Ovis aries: one gene and its partner. The protein of the gene in region 2 purifies or fractionates together with the protein of the main gene of each other region. This does not show direct contact. Links are inferred from orthologs where the notes say so. Each region holds a gene or a part of one and is shown on either strand. Other genes may lie near its edges.

Evidence for each region. The genes of interacting proteins can lie anywhere in the genome.
Region 1: the proteins of COPA (region 2) and COPG1 purify together in Homo sapiens (affinity purification with mass spectrometry; 6 studies listed by BioGRID and IntAct, counting the BioPlex papers as one, with this or other methods). This does not show direct contact. The link is inferred for Ovis aries from reciprocal best matches to the Homo sapiens genes COPA and COPG1.

Annotation. Positions count from the first base shown.
Region 1 is NC_056072.1:59,021,022-59,026,367, reverse strand, and holds part of COPG1 (coatomer subunit gamma-1), read right to left. Parts: intron 5,260-5,346; coding exon 5,180-5,259; intron 4,233-5,179; coding exon 4,157-4,232; intron 4,056-4,156; coding exon 3,963-4,055; intron 3,489-3,962; coding exon 3,402-3,488; intron 2,585-3,401; coding exon 2,427-2,584; intron 2,336-2,426; coding exon 2,202-2,335; intron 1,911-2,201; coding exon 1,843-1,910; intron 1,631-1,842; coding exon 1,442-1,630; intron 854-1,441; coding exon 758-853; intron 1-757. UniProt on the Homo sapiens protein: The coatomer is a cytosolic protein complex that binds to dilysine motifs and reversibly associates with Golgi non-clathrin-coated vesicles, which further mediate biosynthetic protein transport from the ER, via the Golgi up to the trans Golgi network.
Region 2 is NC_056054.1:111,310,715-111,315,553, forward strand, and holds the end of COPA (coatomer subunit alpha), read right to left. Parts: coding exon 4,720-4,839; intron 4,631-4,719; coding exon 4,520-4,630; intron 3,981-4,519; coding exon 3,819-3,980; intron 2,638-3,818; coding exon 2,443-2,637; intron 2,188-2,442; coding exon 2,128-2,187; 3' UTR 1,562-2,127; downstream 1-1,561. UniProt on the Homo sapiens protein: The coatomer is a cytosolic protein complex that binds to dilysine motifs and reversibly associates with Golgi non-clathrin-coated vesicles, which further mediate biosynthetic protein transport from the ER, via the Golgi up to the trans Golgi network.

The sequences.
Region 1 (5,346 bases), on a different chromosome or scaffold from region 2:
TGGCAACAGAGTTCAGTTTTGCAGGATGAGAAAGTTCTGGAAATTAACTGCACTCCTGTGTGAAGGTATTTAACAATACTGAACAATATACAAGGTGACGAATTCTACTGTGACAGGCACTCGGTCTTTGTGACCCCATGGACTGATGTCCAGGCCAGAATACTGGAGTGGGCAGCCTTTCCCTTCTGCAGGGGATCTTCCCAACCCAAGGATCGAACCCAGATCTCCCACACTGCAGGCAGATTCTTTACCAGCTGAGCCACCAGGGAAGCCCAAGAACACTGGAGTGGGTAGCCTATCCCTTCTCCAGCGGATCTTCCCGACCAAGGAATCGAACCGGGGTCTCCTGCATAGCAGGCGGATTCTTTACCAGCTGAGTTACATGGGAAGCCCTTGATGAATTCTACGTCGTGTGTATTTTATGACAGCGGTCTCCAGCCTTTTTGGCACCAAGGACCGATTTTTGTGGGAAAATTTTTTTTATGAAACATTGCAATGGCTAGAATATTTCTATACCAGATGACACCAGACAGATTGTTATTCATCTTCTGCTTAAGCATCGCCTTGGGCATCTGCTGAGTCTATATGGCCAGGGGGGCACGTTGTCAGTTACGACTGTAACCACAGTGACTGGGGCATGTTTGCACTGCCTGCACACAAGGAGCCAAGGGGGCTGCGGGCACCAGAAGCCAGCCAGCTAACAGGTGGCTCCAGGCCCGCCTGCCCGGGAGCCAGCAGCCAGGCCACCCACGCTCACCTCTTCCCGCAGCATGGAGAACAGGAAGTTCATGAGCACGGCGTGCTTGCGGGGGTACTTCTGACACAGCGCACTGATGGCCTGCACGACCACGACCTGTGCCGGAGACAGGCGTGAGCCGCGGCCCAGCCCCGCGGGCGGCTCCTCCAGTCCCCGAGCCCAGCAGAGCCCCTCCTCAGGTGGGGCCGGGCCGCGGCACGGCAGGCCAGGGGCTGAGGGGACCTCCGAGCCCCCCGGGCAGGGCAGCGAGCACCGCGGTCCAAGGCCCCGATCCACACTGTGGGGCTCCCCCGTCTGCTCATCTACTCAGAGCTCAGGGCAAGCGCACACACGCCCTGGCTGGCCCTTCCCAGGTCCTCCCAGGCGGCTCCCCCGGGAACTGCCGCCCTGAGGGTCTCCTCGCTGCTCCAGCATGGGGGACGATCCCGTCCACTCCGGAGTCAACTCCCGTGGTCCCGCCCCAGAAAGCGAGCTCCGAGGGCAGGCCGGCGTGCGCGCTGCTCTGCTCGCCCCTCCAGACTTTGCCCAGCACAAGACAGCGCGCACACGGGACACAACAAAGGGCTTGACAGGCCTGGAGCCGCCCGCCTCGCCGACGGAGGCTGGGAGCAGCGCCTCGCATGGCGCCACAGCGAGGCCCCGCGGCAGCCCCGGCCCGCCCCGCAGCAGGCGCAGCCTGTGCACCTTGAACTCGTCCGAGATCTCGGACATGAAGGAGGAGATCTGCTTCATGAGACGGTCGATGCTGCCCTCGCTGCCCGTCTTGAGCAGCGTGGTGATGGCCAGCGTGGCGATGCTGCGGTTTGCGTCTGTCACGAGGTTCTCCAGGTCCAGGTTGCAGGCCGTCACCGCGGACGGGTGCTTCATGGCCACCTGTCCGGGAGCAAACAGGTGACGACACGGACGGGCCACGGGAGGCCTCCCACTGTTCTGCTGGCCCTTCAGGTGGGCTCACGCCAGCACCTGGGGGATAGAGGCCAGCTGCACCTCTATCTAGCTGCAGGAGGGCTGCACCTCCTGCCGCGGGGGCCCCCGCCCCCAGCCCTGTCGGAAGGCCGGCCCCACTCTGTCCACTGCGAACTCACCTTGTTGAGGGTGCGGACGGCGGCGTAACGGAGGGCGGCCTTAGGCGAGCTGCAGAAGAGCTGGAGCACTGCGGGGGGAGACGCCGGTGAGGGCTGCCCCCGCGAGGCAGAGGCCGGTGAGGGCTGCCACCGCGCCGCAGCCAGGAAACCCAGGGGCCCCGGAAGGGGCACAGACAGGGCACCGGGCGCAGTTTGGGGACCAAGGCTCAGAGACTGTTCAGACCCAAATCCCCCACTCACCTATCCCCCAACTGGCATGGCCTCCCCAAATGAGGAGAGCGCACCTGTCCACCCCAGGCAGGGCCTCGCCCCTGGGAGACCCAGCTGCACGGGGCGGGCGGGGGGCGGGGCCTGGGCACCTGAGACAGCTGGGGCCAGCTCCTTGGCGCTGCACCCGGGCAGGTTGACAATGGCCGAGGCGGCCTCGTACACCACCATCTCGTGCTTATTGCGCAGGCAGCTCTCGATGAAGTCGAACAGGGGGCTGTCACGGCTGCAACGACAGGCGGCAAGAGGACGCTGGGGGGCCGCCTGGGGGCTGGGCGAGGGCTCGGGGGGGTGTGCGGCTGGCGCGGTGCCACTACCTGCCGTCCTCGTCCTCCAGCTGCCGGCTGGCCACGCGAATCATCATGCAGTAGGCGAAGGGGGATTTGAGGCCATGCCGCGTGAACTTGCTGATCATCTTGCTGACCGCCAGGCGGTCGTTCTTCCGCACGTGGTACAGGAGCCCCAGCGCGTGGTACTGGGGGTTGTAGAGCAGCGCGAGTGAGGCCTGACGCCACGGGGCCCGCTCCCCACCTCTGGGGTGGGCACAGAGCCCAGGTGTGGGCCACGCCCACTGAGCCACCTGGGACTCTGCAGGCCTCCGTCCCCCAACCCCGCCAGGCGCCGCGCAGACGGAGGAACTGGAGACCAGGGGTCTCCGCCCAGAAAGAGGAAGCGGAGCCGGCCTGGGCTGAGGACATCTCGGGGGCCGTGCAGACGGGCGCCCTTACAGCAGGCCCTCGGCCCCCCGGCCCCGCCCCAGGATGCGTGGCTGCTGCTGCGAAGCCAGCAGGGGGAGGGGAGGCACAGACCATCCCCTCTGCCCTCCGGAATCCTTACTAGGGCGGCGCTCAGGGCCTTTTACGTGGGAAGAAGCCTCTGTGATCCTGGAGGGTTTGAGGGGCCAGAGTGGGCCCTGGAAACGAGATCCACCACTAAGACATGGGGAGAGGGAACAGATGCCCACACGGGGGGCCTGCAGGTCTGGACAGGAGGGCAGAGGCTGCCACTGAACCCTCACCAGGCACCAGGGAGATGGCATCACACACCCAAAATAATACTCGCTGGTTTTTAAACCAAGCCAGTATTTTAGCATGAGCCCATCAAGTCTGTACACCAATTCTCCCTGTAAGAGATGACCTGGATTCTTTTCCTCAAACCCCCAAGTCTCCCCACCACGAGATAAGGACTGAAGCCTGCTCCGGCCAGGGGCCGCCAGGACCTCCGTGATGAAAGCCCATCCTGCTGGCCAGCGCCTGAGTATTTTTAGCATCCCTGCCCTGTTCGCGACTCACCTGGACCATGATGTTGTCACTGGACGCGGCCTCCTGGGCCTCATTCACCCAGCGCTTGACCACGTCGAAGCTGCACTTGAGCAGGTGCTGTGGGGCACAGGGCACGCTGAGCGGGGCGGGCAGGACACCTTGCTGTCGGGGTCCTCCGAGAAGGCGCAGACTCAGCACGGCTCCCACCCTCACTCCTCCTGCCCTGGCGGACTTCCTGCCAGGCTCAAATCCCCAAAACCTGTCACCCCAGGGCATGGGTCAAGGCCGCCAACTGGGCCCTCAATCCACCCAGAGACCCCTGGGCACTCTTCACAGAGCAGGGGGTGGGACTCTCACAACTGGGGCCACACAGCTTTGGTTTTCCTTGCGAAAGCGATCTTTGATGTCTCCTCAGCTCAGCCTCCGGAGCAGCCCCTGCCCCTGCCCCTGCCCCTGCCCCTGCCCCTGCCCCTGCCCCTGCCCCTGCCCCAGCCCCAGCCCCGCTCCGCCCCAACCCAGGCCCCGCCCCAGCCCAGGCCCCGCCCCAGCCCAGCCCAGGCCCAGCCCCAGCCCTGGCCCCAGGCTACACACCAGTGAAGACACGAGAGCGGAGCTGGAGACGCTGGGCACCTTGTCCACGATGGCCTGCTTCATGTAGCGCTCGATGGCCTGCAGCATGGTGCTCTGTGGGGGCGCAGGCGACAGGATGTGGGGCAGAGGCCAGGAGGAGGGGAGCAGGTGTGCGCCCTGGGGACCCCACGCCCCTCCCCAAGCGGGGCACTCACGTCGGTGATCTGGCATAGGGCACGCACGGCCGGGCCCCGGTAGCTGTCCTCCTTGCCGGTCATGTCCTTGGTCAGGCTACGGGGACACGGCACAGGCCTCACGCGGGGGCCGGGCCTGCTCCCACACCCCACCCACCCCAACCGGGTCAGCAGGCCCGTCTCCATTATTAATGGGTGTCTGCTCTGGGCTCCTAACCCTTCATCAAGAGGTCTCCATGAAACTCCACACTGCCCGGGTCACTGCCCTGCTGCGACGGCAACCTCCCCAGGTGGGACTTCCTGCCACTCTCCCCGTTGAGGGGTCACGGAGAAGCCCCTGGACTGCCCCCAGGTCCTGGCAGCTGCACTCCACCCACCCCACCTTTGTCCTGCTCTGCCTGCCTTGCCCTGCAGGACTCCACTCCCCCAGTTCCAGGAGGCCTTGCCTGACCCAGATTCAAGCTGGCGGTCCTCCTGGCCTGCTCTCACAGCCGTCACACCCCTCCCCCCCCAGTGCCGGTCTGTGGGGTTACCTCCCGGGAAGCTCTGGGGCTGCGGAAGCCACGTCTGCCACACTCTCTAAGTGAGCCTACACACGCATGGGTAGCAAACCCCCAAACTGCGTCGAGGAGAAGCACGCGAATGGAGCCCAGGGGCGGCCCGGAGCCGAATGCCTCCTGAGCACAGCAGCCCTTCGTGGGAAAGTCTGCCTGGGGGCTTCGTGCACCCCACCGCCCCCCGTCCCCGTCGCTTCTTCCCGGGCTCTCCTGGGAAGAGCCGGAGTCGCCGTGGAGGCTCTGGGCTGCCTCAGCGGACCAAGAGGAAGCAGGGAAGGGACGGTTTGTGCCTAACTCCAGGCCAGAGAATTACAAGCAGAACCGCCCCCCCTGGAGGCGCCATGGCTGGGCAGAGTAAGTGAAGGAGAGGGCGAGGAGAGAGCAAAGGAGGCAAGGGCGCTGGCAACACGTGGCCGAGGACTGAGCGGCGGGAGCTCGGAGAAGACGGGCTCGGCATGGGTGCAGCCATCAGGGACCTGGGACTCGCCTGCTGGTCACGATGATGACGTCCTCTGCGATGCACGACATCTCTTTGATGGTCAAGTAGCACATCCGACGGAGGGTGGGCTGGGCAGGAGAGGAGAGAGCCCGGTGACCCCCGGCTCAGCCTGACCCAGGGGCCGCCTCTGACAGGGGCCCTCCCACCATCCTGAG
Region 2 (4,839 bases):
ATCAGTCCTTCCAAAGAAATCCCAGGGCTGATTTCCTTTAGGATGGACTGGTTGGATCTCCTTGCAGTCCAAGGGACTCTCAAGAGTCTTCTCCAACACCACACTTCAAAAGCATCAGTTCTTCAGCTCTCAGCTTTCTTCACAGTCTAACTCTCACATCCATACATGACCACTGGAAAAACCACAGCCTTGACTAGACGGACCTTTGTTGGCAAAGCAACCAGAACACTGCCGCAAGGGTATTTTACAGCTTTTTCTTTGTATTATTCTCTTGATTAAGGACATTTTTGGTTCTCCATTGTTTATTAACCAGCTTCAAATTCTTGTCTGGTATTTCATATTTATCCATTGTTTCCCAGTTGGTGATGGACAGGGAGGCCTGGCGTGCTGCAGTCCATGGGGTGGCAAAGAGTTAGACACGACTAAGCTGAACTAAGATTATGTAAGCTTCATGAGGATTGTCCACTTTTTTCATATCCCTTAGTTCATTATGTTGATATGCAAAACTAATTTTATAATTTAAGTTTTAAACTTAAAAAAAAACTTACTGAAATGATCAACTTGCCTAGGTTACAGTAAGAATGTTTGTAACTTGAGAAACTGTTATAAAACTAGTATGCAAATTTTTTGAGAAGGCAGACATATTTTGGGGATACTATGTTTAAGAAAACATCTTTTTTAAAAAAATTTTTTAATGTGAGATCTTAGTTCCCCAACTAGGGATTGAACCTGTGCCCCATAGAGTGGAAGTACAGTCTTAACCACTGGACCACCAAGGAAGTAGCAAGAAAGTATCTTTTAAAGCTAAAAAGACACACAGGCCTGCACTCTTTGATGTAGGAATCACACAATTCTAGTTTATCCTCCAGGCTCACTTTCCCCACCTGTACAATGTATGTTCAAGATGTTCATTGCACCACTGTTTATAACAGTCAAATATCAATCAATAAGTATATCCATCAATAAAAAGGCAACTTAAAATCCTTAAGTAGTATGCTTCCATTTAGATACAGTAGGGGGATAGGGAAGAACACATTGACATCTGCTTGTATATACATTTAAAAAAAAACCTCTGGCAGGATTTAAGGAAGCTAAGAACGGCAGTTACCTGTTTTGGGGAAGGTGATAGGAACTGGGTGGCTGAGGGAAAGCAGAGGAGGAAGACATTACTGAATAGCTTTCTAAATTTATTGATTTGTGAACTAAATGTACTGTTTATTGAAAACATGAATTTGAAATGACAGTATATATTTTAATCAAAGGTACACTATATCACTCTACCAAATTAATCTTACTACATGACAAGCAAAATATGTTGTACTATATACAGTGTATTACTAATTAGCAATGGATGGAAGGTTGCAGTCAACAATGGAATAGGGAACTACTTGCTTTCTCCCATTCTCACAGTTTACTTTAAAAACAAAAAAATCACTAGGTATTTACTACCTTTGTAATTAAAAATAATTATTGAAGGAAAGATATCTGCTTGGATGGGGCAGCTACATGAAGTAAGGAGGAATGTGAGTATGTCCAGGAAACAAATGACAAGCCACAAAACTCTCATAAAAATCTACTTTATTTTGTGTGAGAAACAAAATACAAGAACAATGTTTAGAAAGAATAAATCAACAAAAAGTGATATGCATTTCTGGGAAAACAAACACTTTCTTCTCAGACTTCAAGTTTCTGGGCACAGAGAGGCTCTATCTGCTTAGGAGTTTGAATGTCCAAGGAAAATGGGGATGGCTAAGAGCTTGCTATGACTGAGTAAAAGACGCTATCTTATTTATTACATCTCATTTCTTTCTAACAAAAGGCACACATGGGGTGGAAAGGGAAAGGATAAATATTGAAGGAATTTACTATTTAAATGTTCATCACAAATGTTCTTTGAAAGATCTACGCTGGGAAGGCAAGGCTAAGTGTGACCACAACTATAAGTCACCTTGAGAAGATGAGAAGTTCTCAGAGGCAAAAAAAAAAGTCAGGTTTAGACTTGATTAGCCATACAAGAAGAGAAAAGGACATTAGATTTTAGGGCAGGGAGAACTAAACACCAACATGAACAGTAGTTAAGGAAGATGCAGGAAACATGGTGTTTGACCCTATACACAGAAAGGGGCCTCAGCGAAACTGCAGAGGGCTGATCCTCAAACCAATCACATCTTTGCCAATCTCTGTCACCTATGGAAGAAGAAAAAAAATTAGGGGATTTTGAGGGTGAGAAGCCTAGAGGGTCTACTCCCTGCCCTCCTAGTGAGGACAGGAGAGTGCTTTGTTATGGTTACTGATCGTAAGGAGTGGTGGGGAGAAGTTCTACCTTTCTCCAATGTCATCACCTTAAGGTGTGAGGCAGGAATACAGGGAACCAAAGGACCAATATGCCTTCTTTCCCCTTCCCTCAATATTCTAGATTCATTTCTCAAGGACAGTACTTACCGTAGTGACCTTGCAGATCTGACCTTTAAACTCAGGGGAATAGCAGGCCCCACTGAGCGGACATTTCTCCACTGGCTTTCCACGGTAGATGGGCCGATAAGATGCAGCACAGATGTCGAAAGGGTTGTGCATGTCATAATTGAGCTGATAGGCATCTGTGGGGTTTTTCTCACAGGCAGACAGGATTTTGCGGGTCTAAGGGAGGGAAGGAACGTTTTGTTTAAAAGGACTGAAAACTGCACACCACAACTCAAATGACCTCAACACCATGGTTAGTAGCTTCTTTGATGTAAGAAGCAATTGTACTGACTGAATACAGAGTAAGTTCTCTGCACAGGTCATATGAAGGAATAATAATTGCCATTCCTATTGTATTAGGGTTTTTCCTTTTCTATCCCAAAGTGGCCCTATGGAACTAGACCCATAGTGAAGTGAAGTAAAAGTTGCTCAGTCGTGTCCAACTTTTGCGACCCCATGGACTATACAGTTCATGGAATTCTCCAGGCCAGAATACTGGAGTGGGTAGCCTTTCCCTTCTCCAGGGGATCTTCCCAACCCAACGATTGAACCCAGGTCTCCCGCAGTGCAGGTGGATTCTTTTACCAGCTGAGCTACAGGGGAAGGCTAACTAGACCCATACTTCTCCACTAAGTCTGAGAATTCTCAGGGTTGGCCATGAAAGGGTTAAAACTGGCTTTCACTGCCCAAATAAAAAAGCTTTCAGAAAGCACAAGTAATGGGACATGTATATATATAGAGGTAACTAGTGTTGATAAGGAGAAACCTAGAACTTAAGGACAGTTCGGGGCTGACTTTCAGCTACAGAGGAGCTATTTGATGTCACAGGTCATACTTTCAGAGTGGAGCCATGTCTGAGTAAGGTATTTGTTTAGTTTCCAGGAATAAAAAGGGGGTCCTCATGCCATACACAGAGAAGGCAATGGCACCCCACTCCAGTACTCTTGCCTGGAAAATGACATGGATGGAGAAGCCTGGTAGGCTGCAGTCCATGGGGTGGCTAAGAGTCGGACACAGCTGAGCGACTTCACTTTCACTTTTCACTTTCACGCACTGGAGAAGGAAATGGCAACCCACCCCAATGTTCTTGCCTGGAGAATCCCAGGGACAGGGGAGCCTGGTGGGCTGCCGTCTATGGGGTTGCACAGAGTTGGAAATGACTGAAGCGACTTAGCAGCAGCATGCCATACAGAGGTCCTCATCCTCTGTATGTAAACAGAGGATGGCATCTTGTTGCCTCTTTTGTTGAATGCTGTAATACAGCACTTTGTTTCTGAGACAAGAACCTTGGTCTTTGACCCCCTCCATGTAAAAGGAGATCCAGTTCTCCTATGCTCACTGAAGGAGTTCCCATATACCTGTTGAGCCACCTCCGGCTTGGGTCCAAGTTCCAACAGGCGCCGAGCAAAGGTGGCAGCAGTCTTAAAGTTCTTGAGCTTGAAGAAGAGGTTGAGGGCTGTACGCAACACCAGGATCATGTGCACTGGCTGCAGGTTTGAGTGGGTGAAATAGGCTGCCATCTGGTGGACAGAAAGAGGACCATATGTCAGGCTGATGCTAAAGCTAGGATAGATCATTTATAAGTTGTTGCACACGCATTAAAAACACAACAAAACCACCAAATAAACACCGGACTGGCTATAAAACAGAGAAAGCTTCTGCCTCCTAGTTATAGAGAACTTATGGGATGAGGAAGAAGGGTGGAGAAATACATACTACTGTCACAGAAACAGGTGCAAATTTCTCTCACTCCCCATATTGAGACCTAAAGAATTCAAACTCCATAGAGGCTTCCCAGGTGGCACTAGCAGTAAAGAGCCCACCTGCCAGGGCAGGAGAGGTAAGAGACCCGGGTTCGATCCCTGGGTGGGGAAGATCCCCTGGAGATGGAAATGGCAACCCACTCCAGTGTTCTTGCCTGGAGAATCCCATGGACAGAGGAGCCTGGCGGGCTACAGCCCAGAGGGTTGCAAAGAGTCAGACATGACTGAAGTGACTTACTATTCATTCATTCAGAGGGTAAAAGGGACAATGCCTCTGTACTGCTCAGAGGGCTTACCTCACAGATGCGCTTCTGCTGTTCTAGAGTTTCTTTGGGCAGTTTCTTCCTTTCTATCTCCATGGACAAACCCACAATGTACTCACGGCAAATGGTGATAAGCTGCTGAGCCTGGAGAGAGGGGACAAAAGAAGGTCACGGTACAGATGCAAGACTAGGGGGGTGCCTAGCACTATGACAAGCAGCTAGACTGCTCTTACCTCTGCAATCTCTTGTTTATTGTCCACAACAAGAAGTGGCACACTGAGTAAAATGGAACGGAATTTTTCCACAGCCTCCTCAAACTTGCCAACTGTGGTGAGCTGGTAGCACAGCTGCAA